3 linked regions of the Coturnix japonica genome follow. The protein of the gene in region 3 interacts with the protein of the main gene of each other region in a biochemical or structural test. Links are inferred from orthologs where the notes say so. Each region holds a gene or a part of one and is shown on either strand. Other genes may lie near its edges. The genes, in order: DLG1, RALA and RALBP1.

Region 1 (4,047 bases), on a different chromosome or scaffold from region 3:
GTTACTGACTTAAAATTACTGCAGTTATTTCACTTACAGAAATAACACTGATGTGATAACGTCAATTTTGTAACACTGCTCACACCGAGTCGCCACTGCCCTAATTCAAGTCATTTTAAAGCAGACTGTTGTATGTAAGAAACAGGTCAATTTTGCAAGATTTCTGAACTAAAATCTGTTGAAGGAATTAAAGGAAAGTATGTGAGCTTGGACGGAAGCTTCTGTCAGTGCAGCTGTGGATGTTTAAGTTGGAGACACAGCACAATTCCTATAAAAGTCACACCTGAAAAATCAGCTACAAGATAATTACAAGTGCAATATTCAAGGGAAGCCCAACCAGCAGCACAGCTTTGTCCAGCCTGTTCACAAGCCTCCACTGCAAGAGGACAGGTAGGAGGAGGGCAGTTAGTGCTCAAGGGCTTCTCAGCCAACACAGCCATCTCTCACAGCACCTTTTCCTGGCAGCCCCCTACTCCCTGCAGGGAGCTGACCCCCTCCCAGGGGGCACCAAGCAGTAGTCCCAGTGTATAAAGATGTTGCCAGGAGCAGCCTGCCATGAGCAAGTACTTCTCCAACTCATTTCCATGGAGCAGGTTAAAGGAAGAATACTGAAGTTACAGCATCAATTGCTGGGAAGTGACTCTCTGCTATCACATTTCAGAGGAACAGCTTGGAGCACTAAAGCACGCTCCTTAACATACAATCACACAGTTAACCACTAAATGCAAAATGAATGTGAAATGCTCTCAAATAGCACAACACCTATTTGTGCACGCTGAGATCAACTGAACCGGACAGAATCAAAGACCCCACGGCTACAACAGAACTTCTGACAGATCAGAAAACAAGGCATGAAGCCCTCCAGCAGGCACGTGGCAACCCCAATTGAAGAGTGCTACTGCCAAGAGCTAAGTTACACAGACAACCTGGCTCTTGTTACAGATTTTAGAATAAAGTGTGTCTTACAGGTTACAATACCAAAGGCCATTTCCGTACTACTGACTTGTATCTCATTCAATTAATAACTAAGAGCGAGATTTCCCAGGTGAAAATAAGAAGCATAACCACAGTATTAAGCTTCCGATACACAACTTCAATGATTTCATTCAGCAAAGAACAAAGTCTGTTCACACACATCACACAGAGGCGCGCAGATCCTCATCACGGAGCTGCTGAGCATCAACTGAGCTCCTGCAAGTGAACCCTTTCTAGAGGTGTCCTATGAGAACAGACCCATTTGAACAACCATCTATCAGGAACATAATACAGGAGATGTTCCATAAGATGCCCAACTTCTGAAAACCCACCTGCAGATGATACAAATGCTCCAAGAGAAAGCAGTTCATGTGCAGCGATGTTTCAACCCTCCTCATGTTTCCACCACAACACAAAGACACAGCACTATGAAGATGTAAACTTGTGAGATAGGCTTCAAACCATGTAACTGCGAAGTAACAGCTGAAACCCAGACTGTCTACAATGTTAAAACAAAGTTTATGTGCAAGTTACTTTGTTAAAAGGGAAGGGCATGAAACTCCAAGCTGTTACATACGCAGTGACAACCAATCAGGAAGAAACCACAGCTCCCTGCCTCCCTGGAGAAGCTGCAAAGTCAGGTCAGGATTCTGCAAGTTGTGCTCATACCCCACGTGTTTATTTTGCTCTGTTTGTTTTCTAAGAGATGTGCAGGAAATTCAAGGCTTCACGGAATGATTTCAGCAATATTTACATTAATGGCTAAAGAGAAAAAGCACCAGAAGTGCTCTGAAGCTGGGAATGAGTGAGGTTCTCACTGCACTTCACAACCGAAGAGGAAAAAGTCAGCACAGCCACCTGCAACATGAGAAGTTTCCTTCCATTCACTTTAATTCTGCTCCTGAAATACACAACTTGCAGCATTTTTAGGGATCCTTCAGCAGGGAGATTTGCCCGAGTTCTAAGAGTAAAACCACTTCAGCTCACTCATTGTGGACACGTGGGCTCACAACTAAAACATATTCCTAATAAATTGTTTAAACCCACAGAAACAGACGTGGAAAACCCGACTGCACGGCACAGCCCACAACAGACACGTTGCAGCGCCAGGGCAGAAAACTCATACAAAGTAAGTGACAGAAAACAGCTCATTGCAACAGCAACGTGTCAGCGTGATACACACACAGCACTGAGGGACACGAGGGCTCCGACAACACAACAACTCGCTTCCCCTCACCACCAACACACAAGAGCCCGACCCTAGAGGAGGGGCATCGCTCACCGATCAGCGCCTGGAAGAGGTTGCTCTGGAAGATGCCGATGACCCTCTCGATGGAGTTCCGCAGCTGCCGATCCTCCGCCTGGCTCAGTTTGGAGCGATACTCCTGCAGGAGGCGCAGGGCGCGCTGCGTATCTACGGCCGAACACGAGACTCTGTGAGCACTACACAGGTGGGACACGGTGCCCCACGACCACCCCCCGGGACCGCCCCACGCGGCTCCTTTGTCCGGGACCCCGCTCACCTTGTTTCCTGACGGGCATGGCCGCTCCGCCGCCTCAACTTGGAGCCCGACCCGGCTCGGGGCGGCGGCGGCGCGCACCCCCTGCCGGCCGGGAGCGGGGGGGACCGCCCCGCACAGCGACCCTCCGGGGCGGCTCAGCGAGGAGAGGGACGGGTCGGGACCAGCGGTGGGGCGGCTGATAGTAGCCGGGCAGGGCAGGGCGAGCCGCCACCACAACCAGCAGCAGCAGCACAACCACCGCCCGGCTCAGCGCTCGGGAATTCCAAACTTTCCAGCCAAAATGGCGGCCTGGAGGCTGGGGGGAGAGCACCCCCCCTCTCCCACGTGACCGGGCCCGGCTGCCGCCCAATCAGCGCACGGAGCGGCCCGGGGCCGGTACCTAACGGAGGGGCGGGGGGAGGAGGCAAGGTGAGAGGTTCAGTGTGTCCATAGCGCTTAGTGCTCACTGTGTCCATAGCACCTATTGCTCACTATGTCTATGAACTTATTGCTCACTATGTCTATGCACTTATTTCTATGTCTAAAGCACTTCAAAGCCCACGTGCACATCGCGTGTCCCGCAGGCAGAGCTGGGAGTCAGAGCCCATCCCGCTGCTGCCGTTCCCCATCCCAGGCTGCATCTCCTGTTGGTTTTTCGGATACAGACTCGGCTTGGGAACATCCCCGTGGAAGGGAAGAACCTCCTGGGAATGGACGTGGGTTTGATAGTCAAAAACCAGCGCTGAGTTCGGCTGTGGAACACGCCTAAAGGAAACGGACCCAGCACAGAGCTCTGCTCTGATCCAGCCCCGTTCATCCCTCAGCTTTCTGCCATGGAAGAGCCCGTGTAGATCTGTGAAGAAAACAACGTGCATTCAGTGTGTTTTACCAATTTATGGGAACTTTACCAATTCCCGTAGCATCAGGGATCTGGCACTCTCTGGTACAAGTCCACATATCTTATAATGAGACCATATTAAGTGAGGATGGACATTGGCTTCATGTGTTTACAACAACACTGAACGTACTTTAAAAGTGTCCATATTCCCCGTGGTGTCAGAGTTGTACATGTACATGAGGAGAAGAGCAGCCCAGATTGAGCCAGCAGAAAGGAGATATCCACGCAGTGAGGTTGGTTTGTTGTCTGACAAAAACATTTATTACAGAGCGAAAAATGAATAAACACTTGCAATTAAATGAACTGAATAAGTTCTTCTTAATCAGGACTTGAATGCTTTTTCAGTGTTAAGATGGAATCCCATAACGCAAGGTCATTGTGGGGATAGAGGAATAATCCCATCTAACACCCTCAGATGGCGTTTCTCACTTGTCACTCATGCACCAGAAAAAGGAAAAAATAAAGATCAAAGAAGGGTCAGGATGAAGGATCAGTGAGTCAGGAAGCAATTAGGTGGGCCCTAATGCACTTCCAATTGGGGCTGGTCCTAGTGCTGCTATTTCAGTTCCAGGGGATATTTGTTGATTCCGAGTGGTTGAACCAGAGCTCATGGTATGAAACTTTAGAATATGGTTTGGAAATTCCAGCACGTATAGAAAATACCCTATGAAT
Region 2 (2,670 bases), about 12 Mb from region 3:
ACTTCAAGCAGGTAGACCTAGCAGTTTAAGGCACAGAAGTAGGCTAAAGCATGAATTTATAATCCAAATGGATCACACATTGGATGACTCTCTCAGGATGTATCAAAATCCTATTATACACAGTTCAACTTACTTTCCCTGCAAGCTGGAGAAGCAAATTTACATTATCCCAGAAAATGCTAGAAGACACAGCTTCAGAAGCACTTCTTTTTTTTTCTTAGACTTCTAAAGGATTTCCTTTAAAGAACAAAGCAAACAAAACTCACTTGCCATCCTTATGGAAAAGTACATCTGGAACACACTTACCTTGATTTTGTCTGTCTGCTTTCTGATATACCCTGGCATAGCAAGTAGGGATCAATTAACATTGGATAAAAGGTAGCACATGCATAGTCTCAGCTTTCACAAAATGGATTTTTTAATCAGACTGGTTAAATTTAATCTACAATTCTCTTTTGTTCACAAACACTAAAAAGACCTCTGGAATATTTCAGTTTAACTTGACAACTAGTCTCAACTCTAACAAAGTAACACAACACATACTATAGTCATCAATTAACACTGCACGAGTATTTAAAAAAGTGGAAGTTTATTCATCTTTCAATGGCTCAAATAGCAAACAAAAGAACAGGGTAAGGCATCAGCCAAGACAAAGTTTCATATGTCTGGTGGCTTCATAACACCTCAGCTCCCAGCAAACAGATTCCAAAGCAAAGTCACAATGTTAGTGGTTAGGCTCCCTGGCTAGACAGACCAAAATGAGTACACAGGAAGATGATGTCTGGCTCATTTGCCATAGTTACATGAGTAACTTCAGTTCTGCACTTGGCAGTCTACTAACGCACATACAAAATTCCTACTGATAAATATTTAACGTGACAAATATAACTTCTAAGACTTGAGTCCCTAAAATGTCTGTTAGCATGAAAGTTAAATATTTGTTACCTAGTTTGCTTGAGTACATTTTAAATTGTCAGTTACAGGTTTACATACGTATAAAAAGTGTAACAGTTTGTGGAACTGATCTAGCCCATCTTATCCCAGAGGAGTCCAAAACCCTCAAACGTTCCGGTATATTTTTAGTTAAGATGCAGCACACTCACCATGTGCAAGTATCCTTGCTGTTCTAAAGCAACTGAGGCAGTACATTTTATTTGGGGATTTTGGATGTCCACAGTAAGTGTTTTTATATTGCAAAAGCATCTTTGATTGTTTAATATCAACATTAACTACAAAAAGTAGCTACAATGTTCCCCATTTGAAAATCAACATAAAATAGACTAAACAGTACAAAACCTGCAGGGAGCTTCAGCAGAACACACTGCGTTCCTGCAGCTGAGTATCAGGAACACAAAAGAAATTAACCAATGACACTGGAATTACCCAGACAACATCTTAACTCAAAATACAGTAGCGCTACTGAATCAGCTGCACTCCACGCTACTCCAGGGAGTTAAAACCCAAGGAACATCTAGACAAACATCTACTCACAAAGGGAAGCTTCAAGGTATCAGTACGTTAAGTTTTAAGCAACCACTCCAGGCTCGGATGTGCCATAGGCTTTTGACTTCCATCTTAAACGTATTCTGACCTTTTAGCTATAAGATACCATCAGTTCACCAAGCTACAGATGACTGAATATGCTCTGTATTATTCACAAAACCATAGTATGGCACACATTTAAAGAACAGACACCGCTAGCAGACAGGTAGTTAGCAAGATCATTCATGTAACTCCACTCTACAGAGAGGGCAGGCTCACACTGATGCACAGGAAGAGTCTCCATGCAACAAGCTGAAAATACACCCTTGACTAAGCAACCTGCTATGTTTAGGTTTTAAAATTAAGGCATATTCAAATGTTTCAATGTAAAAGATTACATCACTCTTCTAAGTTAATCAGGTAATGAGGAACCACATATAATTTTCCTCAGCATAACTGTTCGCATATACACTGTTCTTTCCTAATCTGCATAACTCCATGGCAAAACAAGTGTATGCCGCTTTGTTAGGTATCACGTTCACAACTGTAATTTTCAAGGCAACGAAAGACAAGACAAAGTGACAATTATCAATGATAAAAAAAAGTATGCTTTACAAGAAACCAGAAAGTAATATTTCCCCCTCTGTTTACTAATAAAGAAAAGACTTCCAATGAAACACTACATTCAGAAGAAATGTGAGAAGGTAGGCGATTATGAAATGGTTTGCTTCTCTTGAAGCCACATCAACCTTTTTCAGTGAATCTGACTTTCAGTGCAGCTCCAATTCATGCTTTTAGTGGTACATTACAATTTCCAACACGTTAGAGTAATTTCAGTCACTTGAGCCTTCAATGGCATGCTTATAAATTATGGTTTTTTTATTAGTATGGTCAAAGTAGGAAAAGAATTTGGGGTTTTGATTATAAAATGCAACATCTTTCTCTGATCCTCTTAGCTAGGCTTTTCCTTTTCTTCTTCCCATTCTTCTCTTTGCTGTCTTCCATTTTTCTGGCTCTAATTTCTCTCATCAAATCAAAAAACACCTGGAAAAGATGGAAGAATATAAATGCCAAAACACTGTCAGAGTTAGTTCAGGTTATCACTGATGACATCTACTTCTGGTGGTTAGAACAAAATCAGCAATACATAATCAGTTTGAGCAAACAAACACTAATCCAGCAAATTTC
Region 3 (4,174 bases):
AAGGCAGGCTGGATGTAAACATCCATACAGCTGCACCAGCTGTTGTATTCATATGCCGTGTTCCTCGCTGGTTGTGTCACACATTCTAAGGCCTGTAGCTCACCGAGCCTTCAGTCAGACACCGCTAATACTTACGTTTCCATGTCAACCTGCTCAATTGGGGTTGCGGCCCTCGCCTGCCCCGGGGGGTTTCAGTGAACATGACCCAACTTTATGAGTTTACCCCAGCCGAGAAGCCGCTGGAACACCATGGGTACACTACCTCACACAGCACCAGCCGCCGCCCCCAGCACAGCCGTTAGGGGCGTTACAAACCAGACGAGGCACAGAATAACACAGAATCACAGAATGACCCGGGTTGGAAGGGACCTCAGGGATCATGTAGTTCCAACCCCCTGCCTGGCAGGGCCACCAAACATACACATTTACTAGATCAGGTTGCCCAGGGCCCCGTCCAACTTGGTCTTGAACACCTCCAAGGACGGGGCATCCACAACCTCCCTGGGCAGCCTGTTCCAGGGCCTAACCACTCTCCTAGTGAAGAACTTCCCCCTAACATCCAACCTAAATCTTCTCTGTTTTAACTTAAAACCATTTCCCCGTGTCCTGCTATTGTCAGCCCTTTTGAAGAGTTTACTCCCCTCCTGGGAATAAGTTCCCTTCAGGTATTGAAAGGCTGCAATGAGGTCACCCCGCAGCCTTCTCTAGGCTGAACAAGCCCAACTCCCTCAGCCTGTCCTCATAGGGGAGGTGCTCCAGCCCCCTGATCATCTTCGTGGCCCTCCTCTGGACCCTTTCCAAAATCTCCATGTCTTTCTTGTACTGAGGGCTCCACACCTGGACACAGTACTCCAGATGGGGCCTCACAAAAGCAGAGTAGAGAGGGACAATCACCTCCCTATCCCTGCTGACCACCCCTCTCCTGATGGAGCCCAGGATCCTATTTGCTTTCCGGAGCCAACAACTACCGCACCAGCCACCTCCCCCTGAGGTACTGCCGCTCCCCTTTCCCCGCCGCTGGGAGTTGTAGTCCGTCGGCAGGAAGCCGGCCCATCCCACTTCCGGTAGGAGTCCCCTAGAAAACTACACTACCCATCGTGCTTTGCGCGCGGGAGGCTTCTTCCCCTTCCCGCCTCTCTCTCGCGTCACCGCGCATGCGCAGAGTGCCTCCCTCCCTCACCCCGAGCGGAGGTGCGAGCGAGGGCGGCAGCGCGTGCGCGGTGCGTAGTGCGCGGCTGTTCCTCAGCCGTCCTTGCGGGCCGGGCGGCGGAGGCGGCGGGATGGGGAGCGAGGCGGAGCCGCGTGTGTGAGCCCGAGGCGGAGCCGCTGCGCCGGCGAGCGGGACCACGACGGTTAGTGCGAGCGGCTCCGCTCACCATCCCTTCATCGCCTGTGTGTGTGAAGGGCGAGGGAGCCGCTTCCGGGGCTGGCACGGGGGAGGGGGGAGGGATGAGGGATGAGGGGCGGGGGAGGGGCTGACCCGGGGCCTAACCCCTCGCTTAGCCCGGCGGCCGGCTGCTTGTTTCAGGGCCCTCCCGCTCACCTTGCCCGGCCCGTTGGCTGAGGGCACAGTGTGGGGTGGCCGGCCGTCTGCCTGCCTTCACCTGGAGGTACCGTCTGAGCAGCCCTTACCGCTGTCGGTGTTTGTCCGTGTGTTTGGCGAGTTGTCTGCCTGCAGTTTATGAGGACAGGCTGAGGGAGTTGGGTTTGTTCAGCCTGGAGAAGAGAAGGCTGCGGAGTGACCTCATTGCAGCCTTTCAATACCTGAAGGGAACTTACTCCCAGGAGGGGAGTAAACTCTTCAAAAGGGCTGACAGTAGCAGGACAAGGGGAAATGGATTTAAGTTGAAAGAGGGAAGATTTAGGTTGGATGTTAGGGGGAAGTTCTTCACTAGGAGAGTGGTTAGGCCCTGGAACAGGCTGCCCAAGGGGAGGTTGTGGATGCCCCGTCCTTTGGAGGTGTTCAAAGACCAGGTTGGAGGGGCCCTGGCACCTGATCTTAGTAAATGTGTATGTTTGGTGGCCCTGCCAGGCAGGGGGGTTTGGAACTACATGATCCTTGAGGTCCCTTCCAACCCGGGTCATTCTGTGATTCTGTGATTCAGTTTGTTGTGTGTTAGCTGCTCAGCATGTTGTGGGCTGCTTCGGGGTGTGTGTTGAAAACGTGTCTCTGCAGGCAGAGAGTATCAGCGTGAGGTGCGGGAGGAATAGAGCTGAGCTGACTGAAGGTGCTTGTGTTTGTTAGAGTACGAGCACAGCTATCTAATGAAAGCATCCCTTCGGGACAGTACCGTGCTCATCCCCCATCCTCAATTCACGGAATATCGTGGCCATCCTTAATGAAAAATAATAAAAAATAATAAGGTAGGGCCATTTTCTTGGTTGCGTAAAGCGAGTTTGTGTAAATGTCCTGCTTCCATTGCAGCAAGGTAGCAGCAATTGTGTTCTTATACCCACTAATCGTCTGGAAAGCCAGGTTGGAACTGGATGAGCATTAAGGTCCCTTCCAACCCAAACTGCTCTGCGGTGATCTGAACTGCAAACTTAAGCTATAATACAACCCTTTGGGCATAATAGCATTGAGGTTCTGTTGGATATGACCCAGGATTGTAATGGATGTGACTTCATTAGCAAGCTTAAACAACAGAAATAGAAAGATGTCCCTTTTAGTTTGTTTTTTATGTCATTTGAAATGTCATTGACAGGGTGTGCTGTTTGTTCGGTTCATATCAGTCCTGTACAGTCAGTGTGACATGTACTCTATAGGGGCTTTTCTCTACTGAGAAGAAAAAGAGAAGAATAGGCTGCTTATAAGGGATAAGCAGGGAACTTTGGGTTATCTGTTCCAGGGCTCTTATTTCTAACTGAGAAAATCAAGTTGATTTTTCAGTCTTCCCATGCATGCAATAGAAATAGCTGCCTCGAAGTTGGAATACAGTGCAATTCTGGCATTGTTCTGTCTTAGTGAAGGTCTGCTGGGGGAGTGGAGGTGTTATCTTCCTTAGAAAGTAACTTTTAGGCCCTTCCCTGATATGTTCTGGCCATGTTTTCTACCTGCAAGACTTTGAATGCTTTTGGACAGTCAGAGTTAGATGAAGAAATGCTGTTGGTTAGTAATAAATACCTGCAAATGCAGATGTTGTTTCCTTCTGCAAAGCTTGGTGTCAGGTAGCTGGCCTCAAAATGTCAAAATAAAGTATAGTATGACACTTATCTTCATTAATTGTATGCCTGGAGTAACGTACTAAGCCTTAATCTGAACTAACATGTCTGATTATTTTGAATCAGTGAGTGACTCACCACCCTTAAAAATAGGCACAGTTTGCCATATCACAGAATCACAGAATGAACCCGAGTTGGAAGGGACCTCAAGATCATGTAGTTCCAAACCCCCTGCCTGGCAGAGGCCACCAACATAACAATTTACTAGATCAGGTTGCCCAGGGCCCCATCCAACCTGGTCTTGAACACCTCCAGGACGGGGATCCACAACCTCCCTGGGCAGCCTGTTCCAGGGCCTACCACTCTCCGGATTTAAGAACTTCCCCTAACATCCAACCTAAATCTTCCCTCTTTCAACTTGGATCCATTTCCATATGCCAGCCTTATATTTTCACCTAAGAATCTATCAGCTTGCTCTTCTGTTCACCAGGGCCTTGTGGACGCACCTCAACAAAGAGACAACAAAGTGAGGAGGCAGGTCGATCTGTAGCAAAGGGAAGGCTGTTTGCCCATCCCAACCTATCACGGAATCATTAAGATGGAAAAGACCTCTGAGATCATCTAGTCAACCAACCGACCCATCCCTCCGTGCCACCAAACCAACGTCCTCAGTTGCCACTTCCACACAGTTCTTGAGAATCTTGGGGGATGTGATTTCCACCCAGCTCCCTGGGCAGCCTGTGCCACTGCCCAAAGAACTTAAAGGGCTTGAAATCCTGCCAAGCCCGCAAACTGCTCACAGTTTAGAGCCATAGACGGTGGTTCTATCTCACCTTTATGTACTTAGAATGACGCAATATACAAAGTTGGGTGAAGCTGTGAGGTGCTTCTGCAGAAAAAGAAATCACAGAATCACAGAATTGTAGGGGTTGGAGGGACCTCTTAGAGATCATCGCGTCCAACCCCCTGCCAAACAGCTCCCTACACCACGTCACACAGGTAGGCGTCCAGG

The links.
Region 1: the proteins of RALBP1 (region 3) and DLG1 interact in a test that uses a peptide from one of them, tested with the Homo sapiens proteins (2 studies listed by IntAct, with this or other methods). The link is inferred for Coturnix japonica from reciprocal best matches to the Homo sapiens genes RALBP1 and DLG1.
Region 2: the proteins of RALBP1 (region 3) and RALA form a complex in vitro, tested with the Homo sapiens proteins (3 studies listed by BioGRID). The link is inferred for Coturnix japonica from reciprocal best matches to the Homo sapiens genes RALBP1 and RALA.

What each region holds. Positions count from the first base shown.
Region 1 is NC_029524.1:10,829,498-10,833,544, forward strand, and holds the start of DLG1 (disks large homolog 1), read right to left. Parts: upstream 2,801-4,047; 5' UTR 2,518-2,800; coding exon 2,499-2,517; intron 2,427-2,498; exon of another isoform or gene 2,390-2,426; coding exon 2,258-2,389; intron 1-2,257. UniProt on the Homo sapiens protein: Essential multidomain scaffolding protein required for normal development. Recruits channels, receptors and signaling molecules to discrete plasma membrane domains in polarized cells.
Region 2 is NC_029517.1:76,743,228-76,745,897, forward strand, and holds the end of RALA (ras-related protein Ral-A), read right to left. Parts: intron 2,527-2,670; coding exon 2,404-2,526; 3' UTR 571-2,403; downstream 1-570. UniProt on the Homo sapiens protein: Multifunctional GTPase involved in a variety of cellular processes including gene expression, cell migration, cell proliferation, oncogenic transformation and membrane trafficking.
Region 3 is NC_029517.1:88,814,196-88,818,369, reverse strand, and holds the start of RALBP1 (ralA-binding protein 1), read left to right. Parts: upstream 1-1,160; 5' UTR 1,161-1,352; intron 1,353-4,174. UniProt on the Homo sapiens protein: Multifunctional protein that functions as a downstream effector of RALA and RALB. As a GTPase-activating protein/GAP can inactivate CDC42 and RAC1 by stimulating their GTPase activity.